Callithrix jacchus: one gene and its partner. The protein of the gene in region 1 interacts with the protein of each later gene in a biochemical or structural test. Links are inferred from orthologs where the notes say so. Each region holds a gene or a part of one and is shown in the gene's direction. Other genes may lie near its edges.

Region 1 (3,820 bases):
AGTATGAGGGGAGCATAGAGAAGAGTAGTCCAAAGTGGGACCACAGTGGGCCCGGCCAGACCTTACATGGCCTTTCTAGGTCACAATTAGAATATGGGCCTTACTCTTCCTGTTTTGGGAGCTGTGGGAGGGTTGTGAGCAGGGGTATGCTGGGATTTGGCTTCTCTTTGAAGAATAGGTGTGTGCAGAACAGCCTGACAGGGGCGCTCTCGGGAGTCCAAGCCAGGGAGGTGGTAGCTGGGCCAGGCCCTTGGCAGTGGGCGAGACTGTGGATATATTTATAAGCATATTGCTAATAGGACTTGCTGATGGATTTGATGTGGGTTGTGAGAGAATGAGCAGATTCAACGGTACCTTCAGAGTCGTCATCCTAAGTCCCTGAATGGTGGTGCCATTTCCTGGGATGGCAAAGACCGCAGAAGGAGCATGCTGTGGAGACAAATCAAGAATTCAGTTTTGGGCCTGTAATCCCAGCTCTTTGGAAGGCCAAGGCAGGCAGATCACTTGATGTTAGGAGTTTGAGACCAGCCTTGCCAACATGGCGAAACCCCGTCTCTACTAAAATACACAAAAAATTAGCCGGGCGTGGTGGCACGTGCCTATAATCCCAGCTACTTGGGAGCCTGCGACATGAGAATCACTTGAACTCTGGAGTTGGAGGTTGCAGTGGCGACAATCATGCCACTGCACTCTGAGTGAGACTCTGTCTCAAAAAAAAAAAAAAAAAATTCAGTTCTAGATATGAGACATGTATTAGATATCTGAATGGAGATGTTAAGTGAGCATTTGGGTATATGAATCTCCCTAATTGCTATGGTATTTGAAGCCATGTGACTAGATGATACCTTCTGGAGGGGTAAGTAAGTAGCAAAGAGGTAGGAGGACTGAGCAATCCCTGAAGCACCCACAACTGAAAGGTTGGAAAGAGAAGAATCCAGCAAAGAAGACTGGGAGGGAGAAGGAAATCAGGACTGTTGAGTTAGCCGGCCTCTTTCCAGCCCATGCCTATTCCCTTCCTCCTGGCCATTCTGAGAGAATTCCTTAGAGAGGAGGTATGTTACATCCTGACTTTTCTTGTGATCTCCCAAACATGAGTTTCATCGCTATTTTCTAGACTCTTAATTATATAAGTATTTAAATTATGCAGGGATCGTCTGAAAGGGACCAAACTTTTACGCATCAGTCATCATTTTAAGAATTATCGGAGTGAGTGTATGCAAATGGCTGTCAAGCCAGCCTAGTAATGTTCCCATCAAATCCTTAGCTCTGCTGAAGGAGATGGACTATCAGAGATCAGACATACAATATCTTACAGGGCTGCATCAGAATGAAGAATTCAGAGAGAAAGCCAAGATAGCCTTACTTAGAATAGAATGGATTGTTCCATTACCTGCAACTTTGCTAGCGGCTAGAAATTGCTTTGGTAATTGGTACTATGACCTTTCATTTATAGCCATTGTACCCAGTGGAGAAATTGATAATAGTAATTATTTAAAACATTCTTGGGCCTGCGCAGTGGCTCATGCCTGTAGTTCCAGCACTTGGAAGGCCAGGGTGGGCAGATCACAAGGTCAGGAGTTCGAGACCAGCCTGGTCAGCATGGTGAAACCCCATCTCTACTAAAAATATAAAAGTTAGCTAGGCATGGTGGCTCATGCATATAATTCCAGCTACTTGGGAGGCTGAGGCAGGAGAATTGCTGGAACTGGGACCCAGGAGATGGAGTTCACAGTGAACTGAGATTGTGCCACTGCTGCACTCTAGCCTGGGCTACAGAGTGAGACTTGGTCTCTGTAAAAAGAAAAACATTCTTGTTCATGTCCCTGTACATGGCATCTTGGCAGAAAATTAGAAAGATAAATATTGGCATCTGTTCTAGGATACAACAAGAAGGATCCACGTTTCAACAGATCAAGGGGACACGTGGAGTATGGCCCAACTCCCCTCTGTGGGGCAGGAACAGTTCTATTCTATTCTGGCAGCGAATGATGACATGGTATTCATGCATGTAGATGAACCTGGAGGTAAGAGCTTTTTGGTGGCTCGCCTTTGAAAGCATAGAGATGTAAGCTTTGAGCAGCTTTCCTTTTTACATGTTGAGTTTTCCTCTTACCCCTAGAAGTTCATTAGTGTCATACTGATTATTCTGTCCTAGAAATCATCTGTGGCCCCTGTTAAAAATGCCGCTTGTTTTGGTGCTCTAAGGTAGCTCGTGTGTATGTTCAGGTGTTCCAGAGCAGAGCTGCTCAAAGAATGGTCAGTAGACTGGTACTGACTGTGCAGACTCTCTGTTACCAGATAAGTACAGAGATTGAGAGCAAGAGTTTAGAAACTCTTCTGACCCTTCAACAAAGCAATTTTATGTCTGTTGGATCTAATGATAAAAAATTAGGGGTCTGTATTTTGTCTGCCTTTTCATTTTTAATGATTAGTATTTTATTAGGTTTACAAAAGCGTCAGTTTGTGACATATTGGAAATCTGGTGCGATCTCGGCTCACTGCAACCTCTGCCTCCTGGGTTCAAGTGATTCTCCTGCCTCTGCCTCCTGAGTAGCTGAGATTACAGGCGTGCGCCACCACGCCCAGATCATTTTTTGTATCTTTAGTAGAGACAGGGTTTCACCATGTTGGCCAGGCTGGTCTCAAACTACTGACCTCGTGATCCTCCTGCCTTGGCCTCCCAAAGTGCTGGGATTACAGGCATGAGCCACTGCACTGGCTGGAAGTCTTACAAATTGATCCTTCACCATAGATAGTTTAAAAAGCATTGTTCTAGAGTGTAAAGATTTAGAAATGTGGAAACTAAACACAGAAACTCTCCAAAATATATCTGGGAAGAGCTTTCTGTAGCATCTGATTAATTTATTCAACAAACTCAGCATCTGGCATATTCCAGGCACTAAGCTGGGTACTAGAATTAAAGATGGGCATAAAGATCTTGAGTATCAAACCTTGATTAATTCTCAGGTCTGAGTCTTCATAATGAAGAGACACAATTGGCTACTGCGTTTAGTCGGCAGACAATCGTGTGGTTAGACTATTGTTTTTCTCTTTGGTTCCACCCGAGACTTAGTATTTTTGTTTGTTTGCTTATTTCAGACACTGGGTTTGGCACAATCTTTACCTCAGATGATCGAGGCATTGTCTATTCCAAGTCTTTGGACCGACATCTCTACACTACGACAGGCGGAGAAACGGACTTTACCAATGTGACCTCCCTCCGAGGCGTCTACATAACAAGCGTGCTCTCCGAAGGTGAGTGTGGGCATCACAGTGCTGCACTGCACCTTCAGCTGCATGTGGTAGGGTTTGAGCCTTCAGGGGATCCTGTCCCCCGTAACCGTCACTTGCCAAGTACATTTTTTACTTGTCTTTTTTTTTTTTTTTTTTTTTTTTGAGACACAGTTTCGCTCTTATTGCCCAGGCTGGAGTGCAGTGGCGCAATCTTGGCTCACTGCAACCTCCACCTCCCAGGTTCAGTCGATTCTCCTGCCTCAGCCTCTCCCGAGTAGCTGGGATTCTAGGCATGCACCACCATGCCTGGCTTTTGTATTTTTAGTAGAGGCAGTGTTTTGCCATGTTGGTCAGGCTGGTCTCGAACTCCTGACCTCAGGTGATCCACCCGCCTCGGCCTCCCAAGTGCTGGGACTACAGGCATGAGCCATTGTGCCTGGCCTGTTTCCTTTTTTTTTTATTGTGGCAAAATATATCTAACAAAATTTGCAGTTTTAAACATTGTATAGGGTACAATTCAGTAGCATTAAGCCCAGTCACAATGTTGTGCAACCATCACCCCTATTCCTAGACCTTTTTCATTATC
Region 2 (3,820 bases), on another chromosome or scaffold:
CTGATGCTGCTCTCAGTGGTGTTTGTGGGGCTAGCAGTATTTGTCATCTACAAGTTTAAAAGGTGCGTGTCCCTCCATCCACATCTCCTCACCCCCAGCCTCTTCCTTCTCCCTGACAGGTCCAGAAGCATGTGTTACAGTGATGTGCATAGCAGTGATGGTTTCTATTAATATTTTAGGAAGATCCCGGGCATTAATGCTTATGCCCAGATGCAGAATGAGAAAGAACAAGAGATGATCAGTCCAGTCAGTCACTCTGAAAGCAGGCCCAGTGTCCCTCAGAGTGAACTAAGGAGGCCTGGCCAGCTTATAGATGAGAAGGTGGAATCCCAACTCATAGGTAAATGATTCCCAGTAGCCATCAGCTGTTCAGCTGAGTAGGCAATGGCTGACTCTCTCTCTAACCCCTTTCTGGCTTGACATAACCACTTTCTTCTGCTCTAACACCCCTGAGAGAAACAGCTAAGATGGCTCTTTCCCTGCTTCCTCTCATTGGGATGGGGAAAAATAATAACAAACCTCTTGCTTCTATCTAGTTTTTTTCCCCTCTCATTAGTTTATTCCTCCTTTTGCAAAACCCTCCCTAAAATATTGGGCTTACAATGTTAAAATGTTACATGTTTATGGGGAAAGAGCAAAGCATTTGCTATAATAATATATAAGAAGGAGAGGCCTCAGAGGCTAGAGCTGGTGGCTCAGACAACTGGGCAGGGTTTGCAGGACATGGTTAGTATTGACTAGAACGAAACACGGTGGCCTCAACTGGATACAGCTCTAAAGAGGGCAAACTGCTTCAGAACGCTAGTAGAGGAGTGACGTAATGAGAATGACCAGCCTCATCATCCAGGGCAATTTTTTTTTTTTACATCTAGTGGTAGCTAGGAACTTTCTCTCAGGAGATATGGCACCTAAGAACTTGAGGACAAGAGTCATAAGGTTTGCAGACATCCAGGGAGTGGAGCAACCTCAGAGAGACCACACTGGTATGTGAGACTATTACATAGCAGATTAGCAAATTTCTTCCTCTTTTTTGACTGTCCCTTAGCAGAAATTGTAAAATAGACTTACTCATATTTCAACGGAGCCCTCTCTGCCTGTGAAGTAGGCACAGGAATCCAACAACTAGGTATGGAGAGTCTGACGTTCACTTGCTAGATCCTGCTACTTACTGCAGAAAGAATTTTCCAGGAAGTTAGACAAACCCATGAAGCCACTAGTGCTGATCTGCTTCTCTCTTTGGTTCTTCCTAAGACTTGTATGTATGATCACAGCCAGATCCTGCATTGCTGACAACAGTGGATAAATTACCGTATAACCATTTCTGCTCCACTGTAATGTCATCATGCCAGACCACCTGGCCTTTACATAACATTTTTAATCTTACTTGGAAAAAAAATGAGTGTATAAATGGAAACATGACCCTCTTTAAACAAAAATGAGAAAGGTCTGTGGCTGTGTTAAGGAGAAATTTAAATGCAGTAACTGGCTCCTATCATAGGTAATGATAACAGTGGCAGCCACATCTGGTGTCCGATTTTCACAGTGCACTTTCTTTTATTTGGGGAGACAAGGTAATAAAAGTGTAATTGCTGAGGGTTAAAAAGAAAAAAGCCTTTTCTGTCTTCAAGTCCACAGAGGCATTCACCCTGTCTACTCATTCCTGAAGCGTCTATGTGCATTTTTTGGTATCATTTGGTTCTCAGTTGCATTTCTGTAGGGTATAAAGCATAGCCTGTGTTTGTTTTATTAAAGTAGCAATTCCTCCTTCACCAGGAAGCTATCTCAGCACATTGCAGTCTCTGACACCTTTCCCTTTCCAGTGTCATTAAATGAGTAAGTGTTACACGTTTTCTCTTAGGAGAGTAGCTTTACCCTCCCCTCCCTCCCCTTCTACTCAACCTGGTGACTCATCTCTCCGATTGCAAAGAGCAAGACACGCCACTCCGCCTTCAACGCCAAAGCGGGGATCTGCTGGGGCACAATTTGCAATTTAAGGAAAACCCCCAAAGGCTACAGGCGACCTGCTGATCAGGAAAGAATTTCGCTCTTGTCAAGTACACCATCCTTCATGACCACTAACTTTGTGTTTTCTCTTTCCTTTGTTGTTCTGTTTCCTATTTTGCCAGGAAGTATTTCCATAGTTGCTGAGAATCAAAGCACAAAAGAAATCCCTATGTAAATGTTTGAATGGAGGACGCCAGTAAAACAAAACAAAACAAAAACAAAATAATATAAAATATAAACAATATCAAAATCCAAACAAACACTCACTGCATCGGGACTTTTTAATTCTTCAGACACAGACAACAAGGGTTTTTAGCTTTAAGCCTGTGCATGTGGACGATACTCTGAGAACATGTGTGGAGGGGCAGTGTACAGGTGCTCTATTTTAATGGAAAACACTCCCCTCTCCCTCTTTCTTCTCCTCTTTTTTCTGATCGGTCGTGTTTGTAGAAAATTCATAACATATATAGGCCAAGGAAATCTGCATGTATTTTTGGAAATATTCTTGGCTCTAGATTTATCAGCTATTTTAGCATTAAGGGCTGATGGGTGGATTAGCTACCCCAGCCCCTTTCATAAGACACAAAGACATGCACAGGAGTTTGAAACCCTGAGCTGTTTCTCTGTTCCACTTTCCATATTGTCATCTCCCTTCTAAGTTAGCTTTTGTAGCTCTGTTGGTCAGCAGTGGCCACAAGGCTGTTTTCTGTACTCTCTGTGGCCACAAAAACAAAGATGGGAGTTCAAGATCCCTGTATGCAGGTAGAATAGGGAAGGAAGGGAGGCAAAGCATGTCAGAAACGGACCTTGGTTTTCTGTTTACCTCTTCCCACCATGATTGCTTCCACTTGCAGCTTTCCCTACTCCTGCCCCACTGCAGTAGGAAATGGAACCCCATTAGTCCATTTTCCTGCCTTCACATGTGTCTATCAATCATCCTTGTGTGGCCATGATCTGTTGATGTCTTTGAATCTCTTCCCTCCAAACCCCAAGTAAGTTGTCCTTCAACTGTTGTCAATTATTTTTCCCAAACATGTTGCTAGATTCTGGACATTAACCCTAACGTTTCCTAAATAGCGGCCTGGCCTCTGCCACCCCTGCCTCCACCACTTGCAAGTTTCGGCTCCTTCTGTCAGTTTTGTACATTCCCAAGCATGCCAGTGTCTGTGCCCATGGACCTCGCTGTATCCTGCACAGCAGGGTTCAGTTTCATGTATCCTTGTCTCTTCCTCTAGAACCTGCCTTTTCCCACCTGGAAACATATACTGTATGTGAAAGAGTTGATATTATGCAAAGCTATTCAAACCTGGCCATGTACTTTGGAAAAGAAAGCATAGAGATGAATTGTGGTGGTCTCACAACCAAAATCTCATGAGACCTGATTCTAGAAGATTCTTGCGAGAAATGTTTTGAATGTGTGATGATTTTGCAGGGCGATTTCCTCCTGTGATGGTTGCTGTTACCCAACATTTCACTCTCACAATAGAATAGAAATGTTTGTGAAATTGATTTTAACTGGAAGGAGAAGCAGGTTAATGGACTTCATGTTTAAGAGTGTCAAAACGTCTGAGAGAATAAATGAGGGGGTTTTGTCTTACATTAGGGTGAGAGTTTGATATTTAGGATGATCTCAGTGATTTCATGTGTGCTCTCTGACCTCTGAGTATCATAGTATCATTAAAGGAAAAAAGTTAGCTGATTGGTAAAAAAAAAAGACTGGCGCAAAGCCTGAAGAAATCCCAGTTTTTCCCAGGGTTATCATGAAAGAAGGCTCAGAGAAAGAGGGAAACAAAAGCCTGTCCAGCAGAGGTCCCTT

What was found.
Region 2: the proteins of SORT1 (region 1) and SORCS1 form a complex in vitro, tested with the Homo sapiens proteins (2 studies listed by BioGRID and IntAct, with this or other methods). The link is inferred for Callithrix jacchus from reciprocal best matches to the Homo sapiens genes SORT1 and SORCS1.

What each region holds. Positions count from the first base shown.
Region 1 is NC_133508.1:147,224,937-147,228,756, reverse strand, and holds part of SORT1 (sortilin), read left to right. Parts: intron 1-1,879; coding exon 1,880-2,024; intron 2,025-3,099; coding exon 3,100-3,255; intron 3,256-3,820.
Region 2 is NC_133513.1:99,578,465-99,582,284, reverse strand, and holds part of SORCS1 (VPS10 domain-containing receptor SorCS1), read left to right. Parts: coding exon 1-62; intron 63-179; coding exon 180-340; intron 341-1,858; coding exon of another isoform or gene 1,859-1,994; exon of another isoform or gene 1,995-2,126; coding exon of another isoform or gene 2,127-2,148; exon of another isoform or gene 2,149-3,820.